Linked DNA regions of Arabidopsis thaliana. The protein of the gene in region 3 interacts with the protein of the main gene of each other region in a pairwise test. Each region holds a gene or a part of one and is shown on either strand. Other genes may lie near its edges. The genes, in order: IRX9-L, CYP711A1, AT4G18340 and AT2G40260.

Region 1 (8,733 bases), on a different chromosome or scaffold from region 3:
TCTCTATCTATCTGAAACCATCACGATCTTCATCTCTAAAGTAACGATCTTCTATTTTCTTTTGTAAACGAATATGATCCTCTCGACTCTCTACGCTTTGATTTTTTTTCCTTTCTCTGTTAGGTTTTTCTCTCCTTGTAAAATCATCTATCATGACTGGAGGAGAGTATGCAAAAGTAAACATAACTTGCAATGACTCAGTTGTTAAAATCCTTGATCCTTGTTCTATGGCTGAAGTATCCACAAAAGTTTCAGAAATTCTTAAGAAATCATCCGATCCCGAAGTCGTTTGTACTCTGGATGTCTCTAGTGAAATCATGAGGAAGATTGTAAACATTGAAGGAAACTAATGAACACCTTTATAAATATTCATATAAGAGTTCTGTTTCCCACACCAGAAAGACAGCTTATAACACATGCTTGTTGGAGCTTCTTCTTTCAAAGCAACTATCAACCAGAAGAAGATTCCTACAAACCCTTCTCCACTAAGGATGAGAAGTGGATCCGCGAGGAATTCAACAAAAAAGAAGAAGATCCTAAGAAGCTCTTCGAGCTTTTCAAGGTATGTGCTTATATGATTATCATTTATAGGACTTTCTTAGGTTTTGGATTACATTTTTTTGCTTTCTGCTATATTATCGGGTTATTGCTCAAATTTTATGGATTTGTACACCTATGTGGTGTGTAGGCTTCAGAGTACCTTGGATTTGTACATCCAAGTCGTTTGATCAGAAGGATGGAGACGAAGAACAGTATATTCATCACATTTATTTATAATCCTTCATTAATGACGGGTTCATGGACGAACTACCTACGAAGCCCTCCAATGAAAGGCTTATGCTACTTTGGGTTTTTGTTTTGCAAGTCTTTACAATTTTCATAGCCATCTTTTTTCCTTTGTAGCTCACTTTAGAAGAACTTTAGAATCGTGTATCGTTTATCTGATACCGTTTGCTTCACAACATACGTTGAGTCGATAAATTGATTGTTTTTATTTTATGTTTTTATCTGTTTTTTGCCATGAGATCAAATCAATAGATTTAACATCTTGTAAACCTAAACATTTTTATTTTAATAAATAATTAAAAATCACTACATAAATTTTTAATATTTTGACACAAAAACTTATGTAAATCTATTTTTGAAACTAGATATCTGCTTGTACCGTTAAAAATAGATTTAACAAAACAACTGAGAAATTTTTTTGACTAAGCTTTCAAACATACAATACTAAATCTAATTCTACTTGAAAAAAAAAGAAAAAGAAAAAAAACACCACAGCAAAAAAAATTAATCGCTTAATCAAATATTACGTCGCCAAGCTTGATATTATAGAAAACTGGTATTAAAATAACCCAAACTTTCGAAAAAGGACTGTAAATTACACATGTTTTAAAATTTTGTCTAATATTTTTGCACCGTTAAAAACCAAAACGGAATATAATATCTTTTTGTACCATATGTGTTGCAATGATGTAAGAAATGCATGCTAAATTTAATAGTAAATCTAGTTGACATATGAGTTATATCTATTTTTATTACCGCTAAAATAAATAAAATTTTCAATGTAATTAGAACTTAGAACTCATTCAAGTATAGTGGATAATAGGTAAGTAGAGGCCATTACTTTATATGATGATAAAACTTAGAATTACTTATTAATCATGTTTTCTTTTTTTGGCAGCGTTTACAATTACAACTAAATCCAATTTATGTTTTAATTATTGTTTTTACCATAGTAGACCATTTCCTCGAAACTTAAACGTAATCATTATTTTGCCAGAGTGTACGAGCCATAATCTCGCCACGTGTCCCACGAACTCGCATAGCTTAAAGATTTTTTTTTAACAAACAAACAAACAGTGCTTTTTCCGCAACTTTCTCCGCCAGCTCAATTTCAGATCTCGGCGGCGACGGATCCATTCCAATCGTGTTTCAGATCGGTGACTTTGAGTTAGAACCAACCACCTTACTCAATCCGACTTCAGATTGAAATTGCTATATCCTACGCGGATTCTCCTGCAAACTTGGTGCGGATCTCTGCGAAAATTGCTGTTTTGGATGTTTGATTTGGGAGCTGTGAAAAATAGGACGGTGGAGTGAGATTATCTGATGGCGTCAATCCGGCGAACTCTCTCGCCGATGTATCACGATCGTTCTCACGAGAATGGAGGTTCACACAAAGGTTTCACCATTGGTGGTAGTAGCAGCAAACACAATTCTTCGCAATTTCTTTCGTATCTCACCAAGCTCCTCGGAGTAACGTCTGATCCTAAAAGCTCGCGTAGAGGTCCATGGAGGCGACCGTTTTACCAGTTTCTCGTCTTCTTTCTTCTTGGATTTGTATTAGGTTTGACACCTTTCGGAAAAATGGAAGATGTAAACGGTTCCGATCGATTCTCCTTCGAGATCAAACAGCCCTACGTTGAAGAACGGTTGGAAAATAGGAAACGGGAAGAAGCAGCTGTAGATGCGGTGAGTTTCGTGGCGGAGACTGAAAATGGGAAGAAGGAGGTCAATTTTGTGCCGAAGAAGCTTCTAATTGTGGTCACACCAACGTATAATAGAGCGATGCAGGCGTATTACTTGAACAGGGTTGCTCAAACGCTGAGACTAGTTGAGTCGCCTGTGCTGTGGATAGTGGTGGAGGGTAACGTGGCGTCGTTTGAAACCTCAGAGATTCTGAGGAAGACGGGAGTGATGTACAGGCACTTGGTTTGCAAGAGGAACATGACGAGTATCAAGGATAGAGGAGTGCATCAGAGAAACACTGCATTGGAACATATTGAGTTGCATAAGCTTGATGGAATTGTCTACTTTGCTGATGATGACAATATCTACTCGCTTGAGCTCTTTCAAAGCTTGAGACAAATCAGGTGACTCAAAAAGACTGCTCATTACTTTTGCTGTCTCTAATTGATGGTAATTTTGTGTGAAATAGACTTATTAGAGAGACTGCGGTTTATGTTTGAGTTTGTTAGTTGAGCAACTCTATCGTCTGCGCTTATTTTATTGGCATCTTTTTGGCTTTATTGCGTGCAGTCTTTGTGATTCTAGTGTTGTTGAACACCGAATATACGCCTATTACTTTGATGTTGAAAGTAATGAGAATTTGAAGTTTTCTGCACAGAATCTGAGTTTTTTTTTGTCTGCCTGCCTCTATTCTTACTTTTCTGCTTGCTCTGCCATGTGCTCAGTCTTGTTTGTTTGAGACTTGAGAGAATACTTCATTTTTCGTTATTGGAAAGGACTCTGTTAAACATTCTTTTTGTACCTTGTCTTGGTTAATCTAAGCATCCATTGAGTGTAAATGCTGATGGCTTGATTTCCAAAGCTTTTCTTCTTCTAAAGTATTTGTCCCCAATTTTAATTTGCTATACTTATCTGTTACATTGTGTAGCCGATTTGGGACTTGGCCTGTTGCTATGCTCGCACAAAGCAAAAACAAGGCCATCCTTGAAGGTCCAGTATGCAATGGAAGTCAAGTAATAGGATGGCACACTAATGAAAAGAGTAAAAGACTAAGGAGGTTCCATGTTGATATGTCGGGATTTGCTTTTAACAGCACTATACTCTGGGACCCTAAAAGGTGGCGACGTCCCTTTTCACATCCAACCCGCCAACTAGACACAGTGAAGGAGGGTTTCCAGGTATGAGTTTGAGTTTTTCCCATATCTTTGGATTTCTCTGGTGTGCAGTCAACCCTTTTCTTATACATGACATCGTGTGTTTCCAAGCAGGAGACATCATTTATAGAGCAGGTGGTGGCTGATGAAAGCGAGATGGAAGGTGTTCCACCAGCTTGCTCGAGTATACTGAACTGGCATCTTCACTTGGATGCCCTGGATGTCCCTTATCCACAAGGGTGGGCGATCCAAAAGAATCTGCAGGCTCTCATAACTATGAAATAGTTTGAAGATAGTTTTGACTGGTAAGATTTATAAGGTTCCGAACTTTTAATGTGAACTCAAGACCGTGAAAAGTCAGTGTTTGTTTGGATTTGGAAAGGGTGAAGCTAGCTAGTTGATCCTTAATCAAAATTCGGATTCTCTACCTATTGATGGTGCTATGCGTGTTTGTTTGCAGAAGAATCATCTGACTTCTCCCTCCTATATGTCTTGCAGGTTTCTACTTACCCCATGTGCTGTGCTCATTACTGGATATATATCAAAGAAGCATATGAAGAATGGAAGAAGACGAGCGAGGGTAGTTTAGGATAGTGATGAGGCACGCATTTTGGATAAACGTTGCTGGAATCGTGAGCCTCCCCTGAATGCAAGAGTTGCTTGGAATTAAATTGAAGGCCTTGGTGTTTTAGTATGAGATGGAATTATATTACCTTCGGACATTGATGATTCCACAGCATTGTATTCGCCTATGGCTAACCAAATTCTTCTTGTTCCTTTTTTTTTTTTTGCAATGAAGAAAAAAATTCACCGCCTATATAATCAAAGTCTAGTCTATACTAGAGTCTAGAGCTTAAATCATCACTTCCTAAGAAGAGAAGAAATAGAAAGAAACAACCGCATGTTAAAAACCATACTTAATACAGAACACAAATGGTGATGCTATAGCAAACAATTAGATAGGGTGTAAAAGTAAACGAAAGATTTTACATTTTCCAGGAAAAAGGTATCGTTGAATATAAGATTTTACATTTTCCAGGAAAAAGATATAATACTACAGGACCTAAAGGGTGTCTCAAATTGGGATGGGCTCGAAACCGTATAAACTCAATGGCAATTGATATTTGGTCTTGATATTATTATCCTCAACTCTTATCTTCTCTTTTTATAGGAACAACGTTGATGCGATTGTACATCCATTACATGTGAACCCCTTCTCACGGCCAAGGTGAAATTTTCATAATATACACAAAAAGGGCAACAAATAAGAAATTATCAATGACCACACACGCTGGGCTACCATACTGGTCATGCTACTAATCCCAAAGACATGTAGTTAGTAGTCAGATTTACGCGTGGTAGCCAGTCTCCCACCATTGACACAGGATCTAATCATCTGTGCTTTGTCTCCTCCAATAACTTCAACTTGGCGATATTCTTCCAGAGAGAGTCACGTTAAGGCCGCCCCATGAATAGACGAAGTTGCATCTGAAGGGTGCATTTGTGAACGTGAATCTTGCCCATTGTCAAGCCCAAGAACTGAAAGAGCTGAACTGTTAAAACATGCATCACCATTCAGTATCTGACATGTGGTACTTAAAATACAGGATAACAGAGTGTCTGTTTGATTTAGAAGACCTACTTTGGTAGAGAAGATCTGATAGTTGGCTGATTCGCATAAGCAGTGAGGGAAGGTCTTAGATCAGGAAACTTCTTCATGATACTTTCAAGTTGAGGCACTGGTAACTGCAAAACAACACCAAAGAGTTATTTGGATTTTTGGGTAATACACTAAACTCGTATATTCTTCCACAACGTTTTCTTGTACCTCCAATAAAACAGGGAAAGAATGCGGCTTTGTCTGAGACACACATTTTAAGAAGCCAGGCCACAATTTTGGCAGCCTCCAGATCTGCATCCAAAAGACACGGCAAGACATTCAGTCATAACCACACAAAATAGAAAATAAGTCTCAATGCTGATCCTTGTGTTTGATCTTTAAATTACTCACCTGCTTCCTCACCAACTTGGAAAGAATTTCCATTACAAAATCAACCTGGACAAAAAATCAGAAAGTTCTTTTACTTCTGACCAAACGAATCCAGAGTTCGATCTATAGACTTAAACCATATACTGTCACTTCTCAACTAAACAATCTTATAATATAGCTTAGACTAAAACTATACTAATTGCACTTTACTTTGACATTTTCTTTATAATTAAGGGTTTGTGAGACCCATCCAAGCTAGAGAGAGCTTTGGGTTAGGCCAAGGGAAGAATGCAGTTCTTTTGGGTTATTTCAAATTCTATTTCTGTTACTTTGGTTCTTTTGTAATAAAAAAGCTTTTAGGTAAATATGTCACGGAGGTCTTTAAACTTATAGTAGGACACTTACTAGTGTTGGAAAAGCATCGATTGCCTGGATAACCGTTCGCATGAAGAGTAAAGGCAGAGGAGTTCGATCAACCTGAAACCAAAAAGTATCACAGATCTCAATATCTAACTAAATAGGAAGTTCTTTTCCATGATATTTGACATACCATCTGACCGAGGGCCTTTGCTAAGACTTGCTGCGTGAAAACAGTGCGTTGTTCAAAGCAAGCTGAGCATGCATCTGTTATCTGAAAACAAAAAACAAAAAAAAACACAGTCAAATGTGACTCTGCTATCAATAGAGACTAGATAGAACAGCTAGCATAGTGGCAGAATTTCATAAAGGGTCGTCCATGGGTAAAACAGATTAATCTTGTCGATAGCAACTCTGACAATCTAATTAGCCAGTTGCTGATTGCCCCTAGTTTTCTACCTTCCTAAAGCGAGTGACATGAGATGAATCATTAATATTCGCGTAAATAGCTTGCCTGGAAGTTACTGGGAAATACCTATTTTACTAGTGAGGAAATAGCAGAAAATAAAAAGGGCATTTGATATGACATAGCAGCAATGCTTCACGCTACCAAAATTCTGTAATAGACGTACACACCTAAACCAACGTATTATTTGAATCCCCAACACTCCCAACCCACCATTTCCACCCTAATTTCTGGATGACCTCGTCTCTGTTGAATTTACGATTTATGATAACTGCCTCTACGTAAGTTATGATAACGTGGCCATATGCAACTGATGATGAAGTTTTATAAGTTCCTTATGCACACTTGCCAAAAGCCACAGAACTTAAGCAGAGCTGATGCATCGAAAAGAGATAGGGATAGTAAAGAAAGCATGCCAATAGGAAAATATACACAGCAGTGTAGGTCTAGTATCACGACTGATTTTGAGCAAATGAGTGCAGAAAACAAGTCCCTTCAGAAGTACTTTCAAACCAGATAGAAAAGTTGGAAATACCTTTTTAAGTGGTGGCCCATCCTTCTCAGGAACAATATCGTGGATAGCAATCAGTACCTCGGCAGGTGTAAGTGCAGGGCCTGTGTGAGCAGAACCCTATCACAGATATAACACAAAAGATCGGAATAGTTCAGAAAAACTACAGGTGTGTAAAATATACTCATGAAATGAACTGTTGTTCCTGTTTTGTAACTGGACAAACCAATCTCTCATTTCATCAGATATTAAAATATCAAGGCAATCCTCTATGCATAGCATGATCAGTGAGTAGCAATTAAAGGATGGATTGGAGAATATGCATATACCTGTAATATATGAGCAAGTGCAAGTTGAAACTTTTCAGGCGGAAGATTAAGAAGGGGAGGAAAGATGGGCAAAACCTGTTACATTGAAAAATAATGTCCGTCATAAAATAAGGAATTTCCACAATTGATAGGCAATAACAAAACATCATCTTTCGCATCCACCAGCAAAGGACCAAAATTTTTATCAGAAGCCTTCCATGATTACTAGTTCTTATTTATTTCCACATTTCAGATAGGTAAAATAACGAGGGAACAAGATATATAATAAAAATAACAAGCCTCTTCATCTTTCTTCAGGGTAAACGTACAGCGAAAGAGCAGAAGCTATGGAAAGAAAGTAAAAACTAACCTCGTCTTTAGTGAGTGAAGAAAGCAATGGAATAAGAATTGAAACATCCTGCAAAACAAATTTTCTGTAAGGCTTTCTGAACTTTATTTTCATAATTATTTACACACAAGAAAAAGATACGAGCGAGCTCTTCATAACAAATCAAACCTTTAGCTTTGTTTCATATAGATGTTTTACAGTAGCAATCAAATCCAAAGAAGGTGCCAATTCTTGTGTCAATATTTGCAACACCTTCACAAGTAACAGACCGTTATTCAAAATTAGAATCTACTTTTGAGGCTAACGTGGATTTACTACAAGGAAACACAGAAGTCACTTACATATGTCAATAAATTTTCACTTCCCTTAGGAGGGTCGGATATTATTTGGAGTAGTTCCGTATAAGATGAACCTAATTCTCGTATTAGGATAGGTATATGTCGATGAAAAGCCTGAACCATTTCAGTAAGTCACCAAAATGAATTAATTTGAAGTTTGTGAATATCATTTACTCCCATTAAAACTGTGAGAACACACGTGATGCATATAAGAAATGCCATACATCGCCCCAACACAATAAAAATCTGATAATCAAAAGTAATATCCTATCCAAAAATAATTCTGTACCATGCCACATGTGATGCACATAAGTGACACGAGGGTTTATTAGGAATAGACTAACTCACCTGGTTTACCATTTTTGGAGCTCTCCCATAAACTTCAAAGACAAGTCGAAGGAGACTAGGTTTCTGAAAAAAGAGATTCATCAGATCTAGGGGAATCTTTAAATAGAAAATAACTTTGAGCATAAGGAGCATCTCCAAAGACTACGCAGACCTTTTTACACAAAGCAAAGAACAGAGAAATCAGTCTCTGAGCTTCAGAAATTGATATAACTGAAACTTCACGAGAAGTTTGTAGATCCTGCTGAGAGGGAATGTCGGAGTTTCCAGACCCTAGAGACTCAGTTGTCAAAGTTATCTGGCTTTTTGCCTGAAAATAATTGTCAGATAATCAACCCACAAAAATTCGAGGTTACAAACTGAAGTGCGTTCATTGCAAAACTAGGTAACCCTCACAAGCGAAAATTTAGAGTCTTACGAGAACAGGCGCAAAAAGTAACTGA
Region 2 (8,262 bases), on a different chromosome or scaffold from region 3:
GTGTGAAAACACAATCAGAGACAAAAGCCTAAAGACTCGAGCAAACTTTTTATTAATATTTTGTTTGTTGCTTTGCTTTGATTTGTTCAAATTTCAAAAACTTCTCTTTAACCCACCACTCCCTCCATTACCACCACAACTTCACATTCTCCGATATTCTCTCTCTCTCTATCAATCTCTCACTCTCAAACTTTCTACATACCTGAAGAAAAAAATAATCTACGAATTCGAGCCAAAAAGATCGAAACTTTTTAATCTATGGGTGCTTCAGGGAAATGGGTCAAGTCCATTATCGGTCTCAAGAAGCTAGAGAAGGATGAAATCGTAAGTTCATTATCTTTTTTTTTTGTTCTCTCGTTCAAAGGTTAAAGCTTTATCGAGAGATACTCTGTTTTCAGGAAAAGGGTAATGGGAAAAACAAGAAATGGAAGCTATGGAGGACTACTTCAGTAGATTCATGGAAGGGTTTTCGAGGAAAACATCGGTCTGATTCAGACGGTGTTGATTCTTCTACTGTTTACTCTGCTGCTGTTGCTACTGTTCTTAGAGCTCCTCCTAAAGATTTCAAAGCTGTTAGAGAAGAATGGGCTGCTATTAGAATCCAAACCGCTTTTCGTGGATTCTTGGTGAGTTTGCTAATTGGTTTTGATTAGAATTGAGAGGAATAGAACTTAGTTTAATTTGAGGATTTGTTGTTAATTAGGCGAGAAGAGCGTTGAGGGCATTGAAAGGGATAGTGAGGTTACAAGCTTTAGTGAGAGGAAGACAAGTTAGGAAACAAGCAGCTGTTACATTGAGATGCATGCAAGCTTTGGTGAGAGTACAAGCTCGTGTTAGAGCTCGTCGTGTGAGGATGACTGTTGAAGGACAAGCTGTTCAAAAGCTTTTAGATGAACATAGAACCAAATCTGATCTCTTGAAAGAAGTCGAGGTTCTTGTCTTTACCTTTTTAGCTCATTGGTTTGATGATTGTTTATTGTTTTGAGATTTGTTATGTTCTCAGGAAGGGTGGTGTGATAGGAAAGGTACTGTGGATGATATTAAGTCAAAGTTGCAGCAGAGACAAGAAGGTGCTTTTAAGAGGGAACGTGCTTTGGCTTATGCTCTTGCTCAAAAGGTAACTAACTTGTCCACATTCAACATCTTGTTTAAGTTCGTGTCTGAAGCTGAATCGGGAATCTTGTTTTGTGTAGCAATGGAGGTCAACTACTAGCTCAAACCTTAAGACGAATAGTTCGATTTCGTATCTTAAAAGTCAAGAGTTTGATAAGAATAGTTGGGGATGGAGTTGGTTGGAGCGTTGGATGGCTGCTAGGCCATGGGAGACTAGACTTATGGACACTGTTGATACCGCTGCCACGCCTCCTCCTCTGCCTCATAAACATTTGAAATCACCGGAAACTGCGGATGTTGTTCAAGTTAGAAGAAACAATGTGACCACTAGAGTATCTGCAAAACCTCCTCCTCATATGCTGTCTTCAAGTCCTGGTTATGAGTTTAACGAGAGCTCAGGTTCATCCTCGATTTGTACTTCAACTACGCCTGTTTCTGGAAAAACTGGACTTGTTTCAGATAACTCTAGCAGTCAAGCAAAAAAGCACAAGCCAAGTTACATGAGCTTGACTGAATCGACAAAGGCTAAGCGAAGAACTAACCGCGGTCTCAGGCAATCTATGGATGAGTTTCAGTTTATGAAGAACTCTGGAATGTTTACAGGGGAATTGAAGACTAGTCCTTCCTCAGATCCTTTTGTTAGTTTCTCCAAACCACTCGGTGTTCCTACTCGATTCGAGAAGCCGAGAGGTTAAATGTGACCTTGTTAGATTGGAGTTTCAACAGCTTGTTGTTGTCTTGTGTGTTGTGAGATATCTGTGTATGTTGTTAATTGTTCTTTTTCCTTTGGAACTACATTGGAGTTTTGAATTTAAATATAAATTTCAGTCTTGCTTTTATTTCACTTGTTTCAAGAATCAGAATCTTTTGATGGTTCTGAGCTTAACCCCGTTCTTGAAGCTGAGAATTATACCATAATCAAGCTGCAGTGGTATCTCCATTTCTAGGGAATGTCTGAAAATGTAATTACGGTAGAGATGCAGTAATGTGAGTTTGATCTCTTGCAGGGCAAATCTCTGTCCAACACAGGCTCGTGGACCGATACCGAATGGGATGAAAGCGTATGGATGTCTATGTTTCTCCTCTTCTCCGTTCGGATCAAATCTTTCCGGCTTGAACTTCTCCGGTTCTGGAAAGTTTTTAGGGTCCTTTGCTAGAACTCCTAGTGCTAACCAAACCCATGTCCCCTAAGCAACAACCACAAGGTAAGTAATAGATTACAAGTGCTGACTGTAAATGGACTAATCCGCTTGATGGGTTTGAATATACCTTTGGGAGTAAATAACCTCCTATCTCCACTTCTTTAGCAGTTTCCCTTGCAACCAAAGGAGAAACCATGTAGAATCTCATAGCCTCTTTAATGACCTACAAAGGAGGCAAATAAAAAACATTCATAAAGATTCTAATCTCTCACAGAAACTCAACTTCTCGGTTTTTGTTTGTTACTAATGAAGCACCTGATCGAGGTATGGAAACTTGTGTTGTAAGTCATGAGCAGTCGGGATCAGATCACGGTTCCCAAACCCGTCAATTTCTTGAAGCAGACGTTTCTCAACATCAAGATGACCAGAGACTAAGTAAAGAACAGAGGATAGTGTGAAAGCAGTGGTTGCAGAGCCAGCAAGAAGATGCTCATAAGTCACAGCACTAATATAATCCGATGTGAAGATGTTTTTGGCGAAAGGATCGGACTCTCGAGCTTTCAAAATCAATGACAAGAAGTCTTTTGAGTCAGTCTCAGCCTCCTTGGCTCGCTTTGACACAATCTCATTAAGTTGTCCACTCAGTCTTGCATTAGTCTTCTCGACTCTCCAGTCCATTGTTCCCGGTATCCTCTTCAACACCTGCCTAAACGGCTCTTGAAGAATCGGAATCAGTAAGCCTAAGATGATAGAGAGTGATCCTGATAAATCCATCTTGAGTTGTGTTGTAGAGTAGACATGCTGGTTTATGAAATCAGTCACCTCCACATCTTTGATTGGTTTCTTCCCGGAAAGACCGAAGTCGACTCCAAAAGCCGCTTGTCCGATGATATCAGTGGTAAGTTTGAGGAAGAGGTTGGAGAAAACGATATCTCGCGGTTTAGAATCAAGATTATGAGTAGCAGAAGTGATGAAACTATGCATTGTAGGGATAAGACTTGTTAAATGTGAAGGCTGATAGAGAGATAGGATGGTGTTTCTCATTTTAGACCATCTCTTGTCCCTGTCAAAGAATCATAAATGGTTATAGAAACAAAAACATACATAGTTTTATAGAGCATGTATGTACCATTGTACCTGGTGAAGAAGAGGCCTTTCTTGTGAAGAGGAGAAGCTGAGATTGGGGAAGGAATGCTTCTGTTTGGAAGATCTTTGAACTTCTTTATCCCAACTTCTCTGCAAAGCTCTGCTTCTGCTATTATTATCAGTGGTTGCCTCCCCATCTGAAATCTGTTTGTTGTTAATTTAAATGGACATGATCACTTGTCTTCATTTTGTTTTTTAGACACTTGTTGTGTTCATCACTCAGTCATAACAACCATAAGAGATGGCCATATATACCAAACTAAACCAAAATGATTAAACAAAATTAAACATAATGTGTTTATAAATCATTTAAATTAAAATAAACTGAAAATCAAATGAAATAATACAAAAACTACATTAAATTATAAATGTTTTTTTCCATTAGGTTTTCTTAATTATTTATCTCTTTTGGTTAAATTGGTTTCATTATTATCAAATGACTAAAAATGAAACTGAAGTTATAAATAAACAGAAATTCATTAAAAAGTTATATTTTTTAATTATATATGTTAAAAAGTACTTGTATATTAATTAAAGCACTATTTACATGAAGTTGTTTTCCTTATTTTAAAAATCAAACTGACTCTAAAGTCTAAACAGAAAATCAAATCAAATAAACCAAAAATTACATTAAACCGAACAAATTAACTAAAACTGTTTTTTTTTGTCGACACGAAAACTTAAAAACTAAACTCTAGGTCTCTAGCCACCGAAAACAGAATAAAGAGAGAGAGAGAGGAGAGGTACCTGAAAATAGGGCCATATTGCTTAGCAAGAACGGAGAAGACATCAGGACCATACTTAGCCATCAAGGGCAAGTGACCAACTAGAGGCATAGCGGTTGGACCGGGAACATTGCATACGGACCAGGAGGGTCGGTACAAGTAAATCACAATTACAACCGCTGCAAAAGTCAAGAATGCAATAAGAGCTTCGTGTTGTGTCAAGAATGGATCAAGAACTTCCCACCATTGATGTTGCGTCTTCATCTCTCTAACCTCTAAAGTTCTCTCTTCTTTAGTTTAATGTGTGGGTTTGTTTGTTAGGTGGTTCATTAATTTATATAGTAGTTGATGTGCTTTTGAAAAGTGGGTTCTACACTCTTTCCACTAGCCCACCTTTAGAATAGCGTGGGACTATTTCGCAAGAAGACAACATGCGTTGAAATTATTAGTCAAGTACTCAAGTTCTCATCTCTACTAGAGAGTAATATTGCTAAGTTATTGTAACGCACGGAATCCGTATTAATTTTTATGTTTTTTTTTCTTGTCAACATTTAATTATTTAGTGTTTAATTCGAAACTATTTAACTATATTTAATACTCCTCTATGTTTGCAAAATTTACATATTCTAATATTTTTATATTCTGAATGTTAGTTTTTTGTAAATATATGATTATAAATAAACAGAATACTATCTTTTGAGTATGGGGTCCTTTTGATGTTTGACCAATCTTCACCCATCGTTGTACTTTTGTTACACTACTATCAAGTGCCTCTACTTGTCAAAGGGGTTTACCGTCAATTGGAGTAAACCACGCTTCTACTTTTGGTCTCCTTTCTCCACTTTTTTTTTTCTCTCTTTTATTTTGGATCACAAATTGTTCTTCCTTTTTCAGTTGAAAAAATTATTGATGGTTCTTTAGTTTTGTATTTTAATGGGTTAGGGAAAGAAATGGCTATATATGGAGGAGATTGTTTCGACTTTCGAGTTTGGACATTGGAATATAAACCAATAATTGATAAAGGAGAAATTTGATCATTGCATGACCATCATTTATGGAGTTAGGTGTTCCTTTTCTATCATGATTCATGATATTAGAATATTAGATCATTGTCTTAATTTTTGGTTTAGAGTTAATAATTTTTGTTCAACATTTCTATATTTTTATACAAATTTTGAAGTCTTTTTTTTTTTCTTTTCTTTCATCTAGTTACGTTTTTTTTCTCTCTCCAGATTTTCTGTTCTATTTGTTAGAATTAGAGTTAAGTTGACATGTATGTAGTAAGGGTATTAATTTGCACCAAAGCTATTGAGAGGGAGAGACGAAATTTCATCGAAATACGAACTGTTTTATAATTCATTCTGCGATTTTTTGGTTTGCTCAAATAATTTTTAACAAAAACAAAACATTGCTCCAATAATAATTTTTAACAAAAAAAAAACATTGCTCCAACAATAATACTAAGTCAATACATGTAATGCAGATATTACTCACGTGATAATAGCTAATCGAAAATCCAACTAGGAATTGGATGGATTCTAGTCCAGCCCACGTAAGTCCTCAAGTATCTAGGGTTTAAGTTTTGTTGTGTATATATATGGAGTTATAACAGAGAGGGCGAGCCGATGTTGATCACGCTCTCACATCGTCGATTGATTCAAAGATGGAAAAACCTGAGTGGTCTGAATTACCTGGAGACCTCATCAATTTAACCGCAAACCGTTTCTCCTCCATTAGTGACGTCCTCCGTGTACGTAGCATCTGTAAACCCTGGCGTTCGGCGGCTGCGACACCGAAGAGCTTTCAATGCAACCTTCCTTCCTCCAACAAGATGATAGAGACTGTTCTCTCTCCCACCACTTTCTTCCGTGTAACTGGCCCTTCTTCATGTTCTTACAAAGGATGGCTGATCAGAACCAAACAAGTCTCTGAATCCAGTAAGATTAATCTCTTGTCTCCTTTCTTTCGCCAGCTCCTAACCCCTTCACAACAAACCCTAGACCTTTTGAAATTTGAGGTTTCAGAGATTCGCCAATCTTACGAGATTCATATATTTGATAAGTATTTAATACAAGGCGTGATAGGTAAAGAAGGACCATCACATATATTGTCTAGAGTTGTTTTCCTAGACAATCTGATTTTCGCAGTCGGACAGGATGACAAAATCTGGTGCTGCAAGAGTGGAGAAGAGAGTAGTAGAATATGGACAAAAATCAAAAACCAAGTTGAAGATTTCTTGGACATTATACTTCATAAAGGACAAGTCTATGCCTTAGACCTAACCGGCGCAATTTGGTGGATTAGTTTATCACCGCTCAGCCTCCTTCAATTCACACCTTCAATTCCAATGGACTACGACGGATATGATAGTTGCAACAAGAGACTCGTTGAGTATTGTGGAGATCTATGCATTATTCATCAACTTCGCTTAAAGAAAGCTTATATCCGAAGGAGTCAAAGGACAGTTGGTTTTAAGGTTTATAAGATGGACGAGTATGTGGCAAAATGGGTTGAGGTTAGGTCCTTGGGAGACAAGGCACTCATTGTGGCTAGGGACAGTTGTTTTACTGTTGTAGCCTCCGAGTACCATGGATGTTTGAACAATTCTATCTACTTCGTTGATAATGTGCGAAAGAGTGTGATAAGAATGAAACTATGAATTTCTCTTTCTTATCCTTAAAATCCCAATTACAATGAAACAAACCCTAAATCGATAAGCTTGGAGTTACAGTTCTCCAATCTTATCTCCCAAGAACAGAGCACATAAAGCTCTAATCCTCTTTACACATCAATGATCACGCAGGATGCTTTTCTCTCTACTCTCTCTTACTATTTATAATCTTCTTCACACGTGACTCCAATCTCTCACTTCAGTTCTCACACGTGCCAACTTCTCATGAACGTATCAGAGTGGCGCAGAAGCTGATCAATTTATCAAGCATGATGATGAGAGTTCCGAGTACCATGGACTTTTGAAGAATTATATCTACTTCGATGATAATGATGGAGAATATTGTAATGATGGAATGAATGATGAAGCTGTTAAGATGTTCAAGCTTGGTGATGGTAGTATCATCGATAGTACTGAGTTTTCTTCTCATAGTTGTTTTCACATGTTCTTTCCTCCGTTCCTCTAAAAACGATTAATTATCTTAAATCTGAATCTTGTTTTATTTATTGCTTATAGTTACGTGTTGTGTTGTGTGCATGATCTTGTAAATGTTTGCAAATCCATAAACGACAAACATTGAATATAGAATAATTTAATCCAAATTTGAAACTGGAACATCATCTATAAGAAACTTGATTAAAAAAACTTTTATGTCATGAGTTATTTTTTCTTGAATCTAATTTAACATTTTTCTTTTTTTGAAGTTGTCGTGAGTTGTTACATAGGACTAGGATGCAGCAGGAACTTGATCTACAAAAATATCACACAGGCCATTTAGTTCCAATTATGTCCCAAGTAACTAGATCAACAAGTTTGTAAATTTTATGAACTTCAAAATTAAAAGTGTTACATTCAAAGAAATACTTTCTTAGTATCATGACCTCTTTTCTCTAAGAAAGCTTAGCAAAAGTTACTAATTACATAAACTCCTAAATGTTGACCAAAGTGAGTACTAAGATAAGTAGACACGGAGCTTGATACTCTTATCGCAGCTCCATCTCATGCTTCTAAGGTCTGGAGAAGGAAAAACAAACAACCATTAAAATTGTCAAACGAAATCAGAGTTTTTTATTCATCAGAACAAGAAAACACAAATGTACAACAAACCACACTCAATGACTCTTCCTTGAGTCAAAACAAACAAACAAACAATTCAACTAGTAAATAAAAGTGGTAGCATTACCATAACTTAGACCGCAACAAGTAGATGTGTTAATACCGTATAGTTAAGGTTCCGAACCAAGAAAACCCATTTGATCAACCATGTCATGTAGATCTTGGCTGTCCCAATCCAAAGGCGAACCAACCAAATCTTCCACTTTCACATCCAACGCTGCTTCCAAATTACCATCTCTCATCATCACATTCATAGCCTCCAAACATTGTTCCTCCTTAGTAGGCATCGAATTATTCGCCTCATCATCGATTGCTGCAGCGAACAACATTTCCATATCATCCTTCATTC
Region 3 (7,614 bases):
GTCTATGTCTACGGGAGCTAAGGTTATTGGAGTCAAGAAAGATATGGTGAAACTCCAACTGACGTCTCCGGTGTGTACCACCATAGGAGAGAAGGTTGCTTTAAGCCGACGTGTCGATAGGCATTGGCGTCTAATTGGTAAGGGTCAGATTATGGCTGGAACCACCATCGATGTTCCTCCTCCTCCTTTCTAATGAAGTAGTGATGAGTTTTTTATATTGTTTGCATTCAAAAATAATTAACATGTGCCTTTGTATGTTTAATCACTTTCTTTCGACTACAATATAAAACTATATTCATATTTAACACAACATTGACGAAAATTTAAAAAACAAATTCATAATTTCATTAATGATATTACTTATCACTAATTAGGAATTATATAATTCTAATTCCCTCCTCGTTCTGAGCTTTTGTTTCATCTTTACGCTCTCTCTTACTCTCAGCCAAAACCCTATACTCTCTTTCAATCCCAATGGAAGATTTGGTTTTGATGAAACAGAGTCTTCTAAAAAGCTTCATCGTCTCTCTTATTCTCACTCTCGTCTTCCTCATCTCACCATCATCATCATCTTCGAATCAAGAAACAAGAGTATCATCAACACAAAAAACGGAAGCTTATCTCAACGGTTACGAATCACCGCACCAACTCGTCTACATCAAGAAAACGACACCGTTTATCTTGAACCAGCGGTTGCAACGAGACAACCACCGTCGTCGTCGTTACAATCACCAATACTACTACTACTATCGACATACTCTTCGTCATCGCCGTGGTCTTCATCATCGTGCTGGCTACTTCAAGATGATGGCCAAGAAGAATAACGGTTTAAACCGTCCGGTTCGACAGGATACTTTCTCGGTTATGCTTCCCAAAGGATTCGTACCTCCTTCCGGTTCATCTCCATGCCATAACCAGAACCCTAATTCCGCTACTACTCTCTTTTGCGATCTTTCTACACAACCCTAGATATCGTTGCCGATACGTCGTACGTGAAACGATTTTGTTCCTCTCGTCGCACTTTTGTATTTTTCATCTTTTAAAGATTTTTTTTTCTTTTTTGTTCGGAATGACCGGTGCATTGATCAGTGCATTTTTGACGGTCAAGTGTATGAAAATAATTTGCATACTAATGTTTGATTGTTCGTGTCCTTTGATTTTTCAGAAAGTACTTATTTTTCCTTACGTGCAGCTGAATTATTTTATTCTATAAAACTAAACTTGACTGATCGGTAAAATAATATATGGAGAGAAAAAAGCATATGTGTCTATGTTTTCAAGGTCAAAACGCATCGTTTGTGGCAAGAACAAGGGAGTATATTGAGCCGATATAATTGGAAATGAGCATGTGAATTTGCATCGTGAGCATAAGCTCTTGTTTCATGGCTTTTTTTTCTTAGCTTCAGTTCCAATTCTTCGTACCGTCCACTCCAATGCATATGTTTGCATTCTAATATCTATATTATATAACTAGCTAGGGATTGTATTTAAAATATCCAACAACATATACAAATGAATTAAGCTATGCCATATTTCTTGAATTAGAGGGAAAAAAATATATGGTTGATTCTAAACCGCTACTGGTTATCGATTATATGCCTTTTGGTCAAAGTTACTACTTACTCAAACCTTTTCATATACGACAAGTTTTTCTTAAAAAGTAAACTTTGTTTCTTTATTATATATGTCAATTACTTGTTAACGACAACAATAAATTTAGAATTTTCACTATTGACCGACTTCATTTGAATGTTGAATTGAATATAAATTATATTTATCAAGCTTATAATTAAATTGTTTACATAAATATCCTAAACAATCGCGTTATTATATTGTCAATAACTTTTCCTCTAAAATAGTCTCAACATTACAACTTGAACCATCGCCAATATCAAAATTGTCCAATACTCCAAGCTCCTCTTTGCCTGAAAGAAGAAGAAAACAGAGAATTAATTCATTTTGCACATCTAGTCCTTTCACAAACTTATTCTCGTCGTGGCCCCAATAATTCCAAATTCTAACAAAATTCACCACATAATACTAATCGTACCTTAGTGGCAGAGGATGAATAAGTGACAGATTCTGAATTTGCCGTCGTTGTCGACATTGTAGAGAATCCCAAATTGTAAGCTAATGATCCATCTGGTTGGAATATACCGTAGTTTTTCTCCGAAGTAGGACCTGGTTTCATATCTTCATTGAACAACGCAAATATATAAACATCGAGTCTTGCATTCCGTCTCGCTGGAGTTCCTTCTCCGGCGAATTGCCTCATCATAAGATTCCGGTTATACGTGGCAGCATTCACAGGAGACGCTCCAATCTCTCCGACATCTCCTTTTGAAGGCCACCCTGTTTCCGCAACCCTAACTTCTATGTTACGGTACCCTAGTTTCGCAGCCGCGAAAGCAACTGCGTCAACTTGAGCATACATCATGTTGTCGTAGTGTAGTCTTGTGTTGGGATCGGTCATGCCGATGTTACGGTTGAATAGAACGTAATCGACTGGGATTTCTTGTGGGTTATCTTTGTAGGCAAAGTAAGGGTAAGCATTTATCCAAAAAGGAGATTTCGTGGCTTCCAAGAAATCTAGAAGTTGTTGCATCACGGAGGAAACCTCCGGCTTGAAACTTCCGGCAGATGGAGGATAAGATTCACCGAGGACGGCAAGAGAGCTTGGAGACGAGACTTGAATGTATCTATCTAAACCTAATTGGACCAAGGCTTTGTGGATGTTGATTATCGCCGGCATCATGTATCTATTACCAAAAAGAGGAGAGAATATAGTCAAAATTAGCAATTATTGGACAAAAACTATTACACTCATTTCTTATTGAAATTCAAAGTGGAGTTTAATAAATATAATATTTTTTTCGAAGGAGTTCGTTACATTTGACCAAGTGGTAGTCAAGAAAATGTGAAATCAGTTAATGAAAAAAAACTAATTCTGTGATCATGTAACAAATTAGACTAATATTCAACGATTAGTACTTACCCTATTAAACTAGAGTCGTCGTCGGTGAAAAGCTCGTTTCCGACCATAATTCCGGTAATCCTAGTGGCCGGAACATAGGGTTTAATGTGAGAATCTACCCATTGGGTAGCTTGTTGAGGATCTTGTAGTAATGGTAAAACCTGATTTTCGATGGTGACGATGATCTCGATGTTTGAATTTGCAAAGGCACTAAGGATTTGAGGGTTAGTGTCGTAAATTCTTGTTTTTGTGATCCTTAAAGATCTCAAGAGGTTAATGACTTTATCCGGTGAAGGCAAATTGTTCCCAACTTGTCCGTAATTGATGCCAAGAGACGTTACTGTTTGTAGTATATTCCCTATATTTCCAAACAAAGAATCGAACTTTTAGAAAACAATGCCAAAAATCTTTAATATTCCATTAAACAAACATTGAAAAAATGAATTCTAGACTTATTATCGATCCGTTATTTCACTATGTTAAAATCTTACACGTTGAGGTTTTAAGGCGGCAACGTAAAGCATAACTTAAGTGTTAAGAATTTGGTTTTAAAATTTCAGAATGAAAAAGAAAATAACCTGAGAAAACGAGAGAAAGCAGGAGAAAAACATGAATGAGACTGGAATGTCTTGTGAATGTTCTTGATGTCATGTTGAGGAAGAGAGAGGGAGGGAAAGAGATTGTGAAGGTTTTGGGTTTTAAGAGAAGTGTTTAATGGAATATTTATAGACATACACAATAAGCCAACCAAGGTGAAGAATACTTTTCTTCGCTTGTTTGTTTTTTTTCCGTGTTTTTTGTTGTGAAAAGGTTTAGTGTTGAAGTTTATGTTTTTTAAAAAAAGTGTTTTTAAATTGTTTAGCTTTGCCTCCCTATATTGCTTTTCTCATTTATGCCTTTTTTATCCACTGACGGCTTTCTATAAACCACAACGAAGGATTTCTTATTAAAGAAAATTATTAGGTTTTAAAATATTTGTATGTAGTTATTTATCATATAGCTAGATTAATGCAGACTCTATGACAAGACAATTTGCATGCACATGTATGGAAGGAAATACGTTGTTTGTGTGTTTCGTTTAATTACATGTACTATACAAGTGGTGTTAACTGTTGGGTTGGTAAAAAAAGTGAGCAATGTTATTAAATTAAGAAGAGATTGGGATACACATAAGTGGACGTGTATAGAATATTGAAGAAGTTTCATAAAGCACCGGAAAATATTAAAATATTCGTTTCAATTAAGTAGGTGAGTCGTGACTTAAAACAAACTTGTACTATACACCAAAAGTTTATTCTACGATAATCATGGAGAAAAAGACGTGGTATAAAAATTAATATTAACACAATGAAATTTTAATAGATAATCATGTCTTGTAGAATAATCATGAAAGGTAAAATATCAAATTTTCAGCTAAAACTTCATGACAAAAGAAATTTTATAATGGGTTATTAGTCCCACAAAAATGGTCTTTATTTTTCTTATTAACTTTTACTACTATTAATATTATTATCTAATTTATCTGAATCATTGATTTTACTAATCACGTGTTAATTATGATTAATTTAATGCTAATTCAAATTCGAAGAATAATGATTACATTTTCGCATGAATCTTGACCGCAAGTGTATCCTAGCCTAATTAATATGACAAACAAACCTTACTATATTTCTTTAGACAAAAGCTAATTGGAGATCCGATTTGACTTGACGTGTCAAAGGATTCAATAGTACACTGAGGAAGCCTCCTCCGTTTCTCCTTTAAAGTTTAATATTTTCAAATCTCCCGGGAAATATAATACATACAAATAAACATATATCACATATTTATTTTCTTTTTGTAATCCGAGGCTTTTGGACGGAAATTCATACAAGTCCTCGAAAGTTATCAAGAACGGGATATCCAAAATTGTATTCGTGAAAGATATATAAGTCGTAATATAATTTGCCATTAATTGTCAAGAAAAAATCTCAAATATATTGTTATTCGGATTAAGATGATAGAGAAGGGATATACTTACTTTCCTTTAGACAAAAGGATCATGCTTAATTTTGAGGCACTTGTAAAATAAAACAAGACAAATATGATAATGTATAAATTGACAAATAACTAAAAGCATTAGCATAACAAAAGTAAAATAAAATGGTCAATTGGGATAATGTTGCTAATATGCTTTCGAGGGGAATTAGACAAGTTGGCGGGGCAGTGTCACACACTTGGAGCCGTCGGTCAATTTCAACCATCGGTTGTTTTTTAATCACCTGACATAATAAACCCCAACAAAACTTATTTAAGAAATAGTAAGTGCTTTCGCTTGGTTGGCTATTGATTTGTTAATCAATTAATTTCTACTTACTATATTTTTAAATGGTAAAATATAAAGGGTTAAACTTGATCACGTAGACGATAGTCAATTCGTTTTCTCGAAAGGTTGGCTAGCCAGAAAATTACATTAATTTAAAGTGGAACTTTTGGCTGTATTGATCTAATCCAAAATACCCTAGTGTCTTCTTTTCGATTCTATAATATTAAATCTTCTCTCTTTTTCACGACACCAAGAGCCATTTTATTTGAACACATGTATACAACTTATAAGAAATATACCCGTCTCAAGCTATTGAACTTGTTGCAATTAAAAATGTAATCGTTCGATGTTGGAATTAAATATGTGGAAAGGAGTCAAAATCAGTCAATTATTCAGAGTGGCCTGTTTATAGTTGGCTGAAAACTTTTAGTTCGTCGTTTAAAAGTTTGATTTCGTGGCTTAGGATTGACCACCGGTCGACTTATGGCAGTTCCATATAGATTAATTTGATAATGACGTAACTATATACCATACACGGCCGAACAGATTGTTTTATATAGGCCTATATGTGTAAAGTTAAAGATAATTTGATTTATTATCGAGTATATGACACAAGTTTTAATTTATTTCTAATGTTTAAATTTAATGATTCTGGTTTAGTTCTTCATGAATATGATCTAGTTTGTTAATTATTTACTGAATGGACATATTTTTGGTTGCAGAATATTTCAAGTTTACGTTATCTGTGGATATTTTAATGTCCAAATCAGAAAGATCATATAATTGTCCAGCAAGTTTGAAACAGCAGACAGAAAAAGAGAATGATTTTGTTTTAGCTCGGATTGAAAGAATATGCCATTTAATCTGCAATTTATTTACAATATCGAATATGCAAATAAAATGACATGAAAGCTTTTTAAAGCAACACAAGTACTCAACGATATCAATGTTTTTGAACAAAGGTTAAGTTTCTTCAAAGAAAGGGTTTAACCCTTTTAACGCATGAAAAATAGAGTATATATAGGGTTTACTTGATTCGGATTTCCATGTTGGACATTTGCAAATGTATGATGCATCACACCCAACTGTGGGAATTTGATAGTGATAGGTAACTAAATTGGTTAACCATTTCCAACTTGGACCATGTGCGAATTGGTTTGAAGGTGGTAATATTAAGGTACCTTTGAATTCTCCCGCATGAATGATTCGGGAAGTGTTATAGCGGGTTTCTTAAAGAGAACAGTGTAGATAAGGGAGAAGATTGCAAAATCAAAAAAAAACAAAAAAAAAAAAAGATTGCAAATTTTACCTACTGTTTAACAAATGGATCAGGCCAAACCATCATTAAACATGCTTGACAGGTCTAGGTTGGGTTGGACCGACATGTTTTTTTTTTTACTTAACAATATATAGTTCACCAGATCAAAAATTCAAATTATATCTGCATAAAAGATACTAAGCTGCACCAAAGTGAACATATAGTTAAATAATGAGCCTATAACGTATCTAAAAATTCTTTTTGACGTCATACACTTGTATTTTATATTTGAACTGAACTCTATATACATATATTACCAAGATTCACATACTGTACTTAGTTTGGATTCATTAGACAAAATAAGATATTTGACGTCATATTAAAATACAGATATCGTGGGCCATTTCGAATAGTGGATATATATAATACTTATAATCGAGTCAAAATGGTGTAAAGCATTATTTCATAAAGCTGCCTACAAAATTGAATTTTTGGTGGATAATGGATAAGGATTAAGCGGCAAGATTTATGAAGAAGAAAAACAAGCTTTATGATCATATAGGAGAGGAAAGTTAATGTCTTATCCAACAACGATAATGCTTTCTCGATAACCAGTAAACATCGTGCATGCATGGCTAAAAGCTTTTACGTGTGCTTTTTTTTTCTTTATAGTAGTTAAAATTTAAATGTTCTTATACTAATCAAAGTGTTTTTCATTTATGACGCGCATACGTAAAAAGGGCCTTAAATCTATGTGTATGTTTCTCTTTTTACTCCATCTTTTTTGGTTAACGACAAGAAAATGAGAATTTCGAAATATTTTATAAAAAGTATGTAAATTTGGGTGCGACATTAAAGGATAAGACACGTAATATTTTAGAAATTTATATTGAAAGTTCAAATTTTTATATTATTAGGGGACAGCTTATCGTTGGTTTTAGTTGTATTTTGTTTTGTCAACTTGTCTGATGTCATGAGCTTTTAGGCATTTTCGATTCTAGAATTTTAGTTTTGCATGTATCAGAGAATTGTATTTAAACAAATTAGACACATATTCAATGATTATTACTTACCCTA
Region 4 (7,995 bases), on a different chromosome or scaffold from region 3:
TGAAAACTCAATTACCGACCAACACTAGTTAGGGACCTCCATAGTTATCTTGTTTTCGGATAGTTCCATTTGGGTCTCAAACAGAGAAAGAGAGAGATCCAACTAACAGCTAGATTTCTGACTTTACAAATGCTTACAGAGACTATACGAGGCAGGAGCACGAAGGATTACAATAGCTGGACTACCACCAATCGGATGCCTTCCGGTGCAAGTAACACTTACTAGCATCAATACTCCTCGCATCTTCCATCATCGGATCTGTACGGAACATCAGAACGATGATTCTCGGGTTTACAATCAAAAGCTACAGAAGCTAATCTTCGGTCTCAGTCAGAGGTTTCGAGGTTCCAAAGTTCTTTACCTTGATATCTACTCTCCGTTAATAGACATGATCAAACATCCTCGTAAATACGGTAACTAATTGATTTAAGTTTTTTTTTCTTTTTTTTTTTTGTTTTAAAGTTTTTCCATATACAAATTTTGTTAATTGTGGCATAGTTTCTAATTTGAAGAGTAATGTATGCAGGACTAGAGGAAACATTGAGAGGATGTTGTGGGACAGGGCTACTTGAGGCAGGACCTCTATGCCAACCATTGTCTCGGACTTGTGACGATGTTTCCAAGTATTTATTCTTTGATTCTGTGCATCCTTCACAGACGGCTTATTCTGTCATCGCTAGTTTCGCCTTACAAAAATTGTTTCCTCTCCTCTAATTTATTATTTTTATTTACAAGACTTTTTATTTTTAAACCAATAAAGTTCTGGTACTTGGTCTTTTATTTGCAAATTTTTCTTTAAGAGTATTGGTGGCTTAATTGTTATTAAATTTATCATAATTTCTAATGTTTGCAACTGACATTACATATCCAGTTACTTTCCTAGATAGGATTGTAATAAAGAAAAAAATAGACTTTGAGTGACATCAGATCAAAAAATACAAACCTTGTGGGTAAGTATTTGTGTTGTTGCTACTTGTTATTAACATCCTTGTAGTTTAGTTGAACTTCGCTTCATTTTTCGTGTGGTGGGAATGTAAAAACGAAAATCAAATAACCAAGATCATCCGACAGACCAACAGTATAACATTTCTCCCAACTAAAAAGTGTATGTAATTCACTAATTTGTATATTTCTTCCCATGAGATTTTAATTATGAAATTGCTTAGTTATCATAATCATATTTAAATATTTTTGTTAGAATTCCACTATCTCAAATATAAGCATAGAAAGAAAACTGATGTCTCACGTTACAAATATCTTTGACTTAACAATATGGAATGATACAACAAAGGCACATGTGAGTAGACATAAAACAACAAAAACTTTCCATAGTTTTGATTCTCTGGAAATATGAAAAAATTCCCAAATATATAATACATATAGCCAAATCTTATTCAAGGCCCAAGATGATAAGAAACGATTATATGCGAATAACAGATACTAGCTTGTTGTCTATCGAGGAGATCAAGACATATCTCTATGTCAAGTACATCTGTCTTCTTGTCGTTCTCTCCAATTTTCTCTTAAAGAAAGTGTCTTCTTTTTTTCTTAATTAACCTCGCAACTAAATTAAAATAAACTTTGGTTGGTTATCAGAACCGATTTGTTTTTTTTTTTTTGTTTTTTTAATACAAACAAAACATTCAGCAGACCTGATTTTTAAATTAACGGACCTTTCATATAATTTCAACTACAAATCTAAAACATAGAATAATTTATAAAACGATTTTGAAGAAGGCAAAAACTCGTCTTTATAAAAATAATAATGCTATAGCTCAGAAAGCTATGACTCGGAAGTCTTCATCTTCTTTTCTTGTATTCACTGATTTGACGTTAACGTATAAATTTTCAGACAATATCTCCATGTTAAAACAAAAATATTGCTTAGGATACTTGTTATGTGAGAGTAAACTACATATACATTGCAACGTCTAGACAAGCTTATAGACAACGTGCAATGTCTTGTAACTCTCAAAACCATATATATAGACTCTCACTAATGTATTTCTTGGTTACTATACTATTTAGAAGAAAACAAATTTCTGCTCCCAACTCGATCACAAATCATATATATTTTAAAATATGCATTTAACGATCTCGACAAAATTATGTGAATTTTTTTTTAATAAAAAACATTAAAAAATGTCTCTATTATTTCCTTAATTATGGGTCTTGTCACAAGTATGCAACGAATGATAAACAACAATACAGAACCGTCTTCCATCAACAAGTACCACAAGATCTCACTTAGAATATACGTATATAAGTTGTTATACATATTCACAGAGTGAGATCAAGGGGACTTGCCAAGACCGAAATCTTTCTCTTTTTGTGATCAGTTTGATCTTCTTTCCTAATGGTTCGGTCGAGTTTTGATGAACCTGAAGATGATAACGAAAGAGACAAACTCTTGATATCTTGATGATCATCATGTTCTTTTACTTCATCTTCTAACAAGCATTCTCCAAGATTGTCGTGTGTCCGAGGTACCTTAAGGGACAAGCTTAGATCCAAATCTTGGTCTGACTTATTGCAGTCATCAGAAAATAATAACCTCTTCCTCTTCAAAACATTCTCTGATCCTTCTGCCACTCCAGCATTCTCCCATTGATAAGAATTTAGCGTTGTAGCAATATGATCTTGTGGTATTGTTGCGGTGGAGGACTTAAGATTGGAAGAGAGGCTCTGTCCCCATGATTTGTTAAACGTTTTCATACCTTCAAGAAAACTTCTATGAATTCTTGGAACAGCTCCAGCTACTCCATTGTTATCATGAACCCCTTCATGAGAATTGATTCGAAATGAAATAGTTTTGTTCTTATCGTTAAGAATACTATTGCTAACTCCGTGATATCTCTCACCAGGCTGTGAGCTAAACATTGTTTGTCTTGTTCTTGTATTTTCTCGTGTCGTTAATCCTCTCCAAGGGCTACGGTAGATCTGTCGTCTGTGGTCAGTCCACGAACCACCACCATATCTATTGAATACATTCCAAGTTACACACACGTAATTTTAACTTATAGTTTAAAGATAGCTAGCTGAAGAGTTTGTAAATACCCTAAACTAGAAGAAGGCCTTTGATCAAAACTTTGTAGCATTGGAAGTTGGCTAAGGTTGTAAGTGTAACCAGCTCCGTGTTCAAACGAAAATCCTTGATCTCCTGTAGTTATAAGAAAAGATAAAACACGAGAGACAAGAATTAGTCAATTTCTCGTCGAATTCAATTATAAGATTTATAGAAGCCCTAACTTAAATCAGAAGGTAGAAGAAAGCTAAGTAAACTACCTTCATTAGGCTCATCGGTCTTCTTGCTTCTGTACATCTAAGAAGAAAAAAAAATGAAGTATGATTTCAGATGAAGATCTCAATGATGTATATAGATATATACTCTATGTGTATGTGGATATTTGCAAAACCTGAAGATGACTCTTAACATGGGCAATACTTAGCCCCTTGACGTTCATCAATTGGAGAACAAGCTTCGGTGTTGCTCCTGTTTCAACAAAATCATTGAAAGAGACCCCAAATAAATATCAACAAGAAAACCCTAGAAATTTAGAGATCTTCACATATGCAATGATCTTGATATTGATTCATATATATAATTGAAACTCAACTATCTGGGCCACCCAATCTCTCCACAGCTTGAAGAAAGCAAATATGGAGCTCCGGCGTCCATCGCAGCCTCGGAGTCTTTGAGCGGTTGTACGGCCTCACGGATCCTCCATTCTTCTTGTTCTGATCATGGTGGTGACTCCCACTCTCTTCCTCATAGCTATTGCTAGATGGGCTCTGATCTCCAGATCTCTCTTCTTCATCCTCTTCGCCTTCTTCATCATCCTCTTCATCTTTATCTTCTTCATTCTTGGTGGTTGCTTTGATGTTGTTAGATAGACAAGTCTTGGAGTTTTCAGAATTTTGGCTGCTTGATCTCATCTTGGTCTCTAGCTATTTGGCTGTTTTTGTGTTGTTTGTTTTGAGGTTGAACCTTTTTGGTCTATCTTGGAGTTCTCTGGACAAAGATCAAACAAAGATCACACACTCATACATATGTGTTAGGAATTTAAGGTGAAGACTTTTGATGGTCTATGTGTATGACTTTTTGGATGCTTGTATCCATCATTCCTTTTTCTCCCCCTCTCTCTCCAACTCAACATATATGTTGAAATATGTATATGATGGCAACGGATATTCTAAATTCTATTTAATATATAGCTTTTTATTACACCAATGGTTTTTTCTACAGTTATATACATCTTAGGGAAAGATAGATCTAGAATTACACCTCATGACAAAAATGGTACTTTTAATTTCATTAAACATTAGTAACTTCAGTCATAAGATGTATTTTAAAATGAGTTAATAACTATTAAGTCAATTAGTACAATTAATCTTTGAATCTCGTTGTGATAGGGAGTGAAAAGAAATTCCAAGGAGTAGATTGAATTTATCTAAATAATGATCATTTTCATGGTAAAAGATCAAACGTTTTCATGATATCAACCCGTACGTATACCAATTTTATGACATAAATCAGGGTTCAATATGACATGTACATTAACAATTTTTTTTGTTCTTTCTTTCAAAACCAACTGAAGATCTATGTTTTTCATTGGATTTGGTACGTGTTTTTGTTTCATTCGAACTAGCTTTTAGCAATATAGGAAGAAGGCAACATTAATGAGGCATACACATTAATTAGATAAATGAAACTTCTTCCATCGTTACAACTCATGAATTAAATTGACTAGAAAAGCAAAGCATAAAAGGGGATGGTTAGGGGGATGGGCTCGTGACTTCAAAGCCAAAGCTGTGAAACCAGAAAAAGAAGAAACCCAAAAGCATAATTAGATAGATAGACAGAGAAAGAGCATAGAGAGAGGAATCAGACAGAAGTTAAAAGGTGCTTGGCTGGGCTGTCTTCACTGAAAGACACGAGAAGAAAATATTACTACTTGTTTCTGTCACCAACGACAATCACGGGTTTGTCTCCATCTCCACTACTCTTACGATTTCATATTATCTATAATTATCTACACATGCGCCTCTCTCTATATACATGCAAATAGTACATCTCTTTTTCTATATATAACCCAAATAAATGTTAAAAAATAAATAAATAAATTAGGATACAGAATATAACAACTGAAGCTAATAAGTCACATGATTATCACAGAATTGAACTTGAGAATTATATGAGTTTCTGTACGTACACACATGCAACCAATTGATTTAGTTTGGAATTCAGTTCAGGGGTGATTAGTTCGTTCTATATAGCGTACGTACTATTAAAATTACTAGTAAAATACTAAACAAAAGATATGTTCTAATTAAGTATGTCATACTTTTATTTTTGTGAAATTAAGGAAGTAGGCAAAGTAGGGGATGTCATACTTTTTTAAGAACTTAGAAAGGAGAAAATTAAAATGTATAATATATGATTTACTTATTGTCATGAACTTTGCGCCTCCAGGAGAGGGTCAAGGCAGAATTGTATCTATCTGTATTCCTCTAACATCAGCAGGCTAATTTTTCTTGTAAGCGACATGCAAGTACTGTGTCAAATTTTGTGAATGGTGACCAGATAATGTGAAAGTCATCGGTCAAATAAATTAGGTATATGACATTTCTTTCTGTTTTTTTTTTTTTTTTCAAAATCGTTTTTGGAAGCCCAATGTCCAGCCGTAATCGTATATTTTCGTCGTCGTTATTAATTGGTAGGAAGAATTAAAGCTGTCGTATATTTTGGTTTTAAAAGTGTAGCAATAATAATTTACGTTAGAATGACGTTCTTCATATCTACCCTATAATCCTACTTCCATGCTCAGACAACCCATGATCAATTATACGACCCAACAGATACCAAATGCTAAGTATTAATATCAATCACGGTATTGACAAAAAAAGGGTATATTAACTACGGTATTGATTTACTAAGTTATATAATCCGTTGAAATTGACCACGACACTATGCTAATTCATTTTCCTTGACACATATATGAAATGAACCAATCAAATTCTAAGCGTGGACCAAAGTCTTCGTGTTTTATGTCTCTCAACTTTTAAAATTTCGGTACCTATAAGGCTATAACTTTTTTATAATATAGGGTTTGAACTGAAGATCTGAGATTGTAGAAACTATATACGCAGTGTACACTAGACCGAAGAAAATTCAAGTAATATATTATATAATTGTACTTCAAATAATGTGCAACCATATGTGAACGTAAATATATTAATCGGAAAGAATAAATTAGGGGTGAACCGAGAGGAATATAATAATAATGAGATTTGTACGTATTATGCATGGGGTTGCATGCATAGTCACTGCAGCTAAGTAATCAATCAGTATGGCCCAATAGTTTAGGTATTGAAACCACAATTGCATATTATATTATTCGTAGTCACTTTTATATCGTTTTTTGGTCTGACATTATTATATTACCATGAGGACAAAAGTCGTGCTCGCAATTTTTTTATAATAAAAACGAATAAAGTTTGGACCAGGGCAACTTCGTGGAATGTAGGTTGCTTGTCGAATTAAAAATTAGGAATTTCGTTTCATATGTGATGCTTGAAAATTAGTTATTTTTTACTTTGGGGAATTCAGTGATGACACAAACAAAATGTATTCAATCAAACAATGACTGTGGAATAATGTTTTTGACTGAAATTTAAAACGTTATTATTGTTCTTAATCAAAATCTCTACACACATCATTTTATTTTTTTTTGGAGCAAAACTGCAAACATCACCTAAAACTCTAAATTTTAGTTTTTCTTCCTTCTGTTTTTTTTTTTTTCATAAGTAAAATGTCCTTCTAAATCGATATTTTTTTAGTTATTAACGATCTTCTCTACAACAAAATCCATCACCCAATTAGGCCAATTGGACTCTACTCTTCCCAAATTATCTATAGAAGATGTTAATTAGTGTTAAAATCATTATTGATTGATTGTTGAGGATTAAAAAGAGTAGAGGTCTTTTTACATTAAAAATAAAGTAAAGGGGTTTCCGTGCAACAAAAGTATTACAAACCCATCACTTATTAGGTTTCCGTTTTCTCTTGGAAGTAGAAGACGACTAGACTATTCAGCGAAATCACAGGAATATGTATGATGTGATGTCGGATGAAGCGAACTTGTGGTTTCACGAAGACGAACCTCCTCTCCGTAAGCGGTAGATGGAAGAAGCTCCACCTTCACCTGTCAAAGACCTTTATTTCTCCGACGAAGAAGACATGAGTCCCGAGGAACTATTTGCCAAGTTATTCAAGAATAAAATATCTCTTCAAACCATGAAAATATTTATGCACACTTATATTCTTAAAAGTATTTTGCAATTTCTCCTCTTATCATTTTGCTACAAAATAACTTTGAACAAAAGAATGCATTCATATAGAAGAAAACGGATATAATTTTCACAAGAACTTTTTTCCGATATGCACACTAATTTATCATATACATGTTTGTAAATTTACTAAACTTGAAGAGAACTTCAATTTTGCTTTACCAATATTACGAGAGATAAATAAAACAGACACTTACAAAACTCACATCTTCAAAATATATACAGTTTTATTAGTGAAGGGGTCTCTCTTACGCCGTGGACAAAACCTCCAACTCTGCCCACCAAAGAGGTGACAATTTCGGTGTAGCATCGTTCGGTGACAATCCCGTGATCTCCCGTAACCATCCTGTGACTTCTTGCATTGTAGGTCTCTCTTTCGGGTCAGTCCTAAGGCATGATTTGATCACTTCACCTATATTCTCAATCTTGGCATCATAAGATTCCAGTGTTGGATCTACCATTTTGGCTAGAGTCTCTCCTCTTAAGAAATCAACCAGCGAGCTATCTACTGAGTCAGGTTTGTTAACGGATTCTATGAGTTTCCCGGTTATCATTTCGAATAACAGTAAACCAAAGCTGTAAATGTTGTCTTCTGGATTCAAGGCTGAGATGTGTGTGTCTATGACTGTGTTGTTGTTGATGTTA

The links.
Region 1: the proteins of AT4G18340 (region 3) and IRX9-L interact in a two-hybrid assay, tested with the Arabidopsis thaliana proteins (one large-scale study listed by BioGRID).
Region 2: the proteins of AT4G18340 (region 3) and CYP711A1 interact in a two-hybrid assay, tested with the Arabidopsis thaliana proteins (one large-scale study listed by BioGRID).
Region 4: the proteins of AT4G18340 (region 3) and AT2G40260 interact in a two-hybrid assay, tested with the Arabidopsis thaliana proteins (one large-scale study listed by BioGRID).

The regions. Positions count from the first base shown.
Region 1 is NC_003070.9:9,599,261-9,607,993, reverse strand, and holds IRX9-L (Nucleotide-diphospho-sugar transferases superfamily protein), read left to right. Parts: upstream 1-1,892; 5' UTR 1,893-2,112; coding exon 2,113-2,876; intron 2,877-3,400; coding exon 3,401-3,650; intron 3,651-3,740; coding exon 3,741-3,911; 3' UTR 3,912-3,931; intron 3,932-4,124; 3' UTR 4,125-4,317; exon of another isoform or gene 4,318-4,443; intron 4,444-4,797; 3' UTR 4,798-4,816; downstream 4,817-8,733. Other genes in the region: AT1G27610 (uncharacterized protein), read left to right, coding at 350-562, 689-883; AT1G27595 (symplekin), read right to left, coding at 5,077-5,179, 5,269-5,372, 5,455-5,538, 5,638-5,682, 6,022-6,093, 6,167-6,247, 6,975-7,070, 7,280-7,354 and 5 more.
Region 2 is NC_003071.7:11,136,979-11,145,240, reverse strand, and holds CYP711A1 (cytochrome P450, family 711, subfamily A, polypeptide 1), read right to left. Parts: upstream 4,433-8,262; 5' UTR 4,391-4,432; coding exon 4,149-4,390; intron 3,661-4,148; exon of another isoform or gene 3,546-3,660; coding exon 3,393-3,545; intron 3,319-3,392; coding exon 2,571-3,318; intron 2,479-2,570; coding exon 2,383-2,478; intron 2,301-2,382; coding exon 1,971-2,300; 3' UTR 1,881-1,970; downstream 1-1,880. Other genes in the region: IQD6 (IQ-domain 6), read left to right, coding at 259-324, 399-626, 704-931, 1,004-1,117, 1,194-1,808; AT2G26160 (F-box SKIP23-like protein (DUF295)), read left to right, coding at 5,790-6,785; HSFA2 (heat shock transcription factor A2), read right to left, coding at 8,024-8,262.
Region 3 is NC_003075.7:10,128,395-10,136,008, forward strand, and holds AT4G18340 (Glycosyl hydrolase superfamily protein), read right to left. Parts: upstream 3,799-7,614; 5' UTR 3,626-3,798; coding exon 3,553-3,625; intron 3,333-3,552; coding exon 2,996-3,332; intron 2,760-2,995; coding exon 2,051-2,759; coding exon of another isoform or gene 2,018-2,050; exon of another isoform or gene 1,926-2,017; coding exon 1,851-1,925; 3' UTR 1,656-1,850; downstream 1-1,655. Other genes in the region: AT4G18330 (Translation elongation factor EF1A/initiation factor IF2gamma family protein), read left to right, coding at 1-193; AT4G18335 (uncharacterized protein), read left to right, coding at 475-969.
Region 4 is NC_003071.7:16,814,538-16,822,532, forward strand, and holds AT2G40260 (Homeodomain-like superfamily protein), read right to left. Parts: upstream 4,194-7,995; 5' UTR 3,937-4,193; coding exon 3,618-3,936; exon of another isoform or gene 3,494-3,617; coding exon 3,417-3,493; intron 3,323-3,416; coding exon 3,286-3,322; intron 3,161-3,285; coding exon 3,058-3,160; intron 2,978-3,057; coding exon 2,281-2,977; 3' UTR 1,993-2,280; downstream 1-1,992. Other genes in the region: AT2G40250 (SGNH hydrolase-type esterase superfamily protein), read left to right, coding at 140-413, 527-714; AT2G40270 (Protein kinase family protein), read right to left, coding at 7,599-7,995.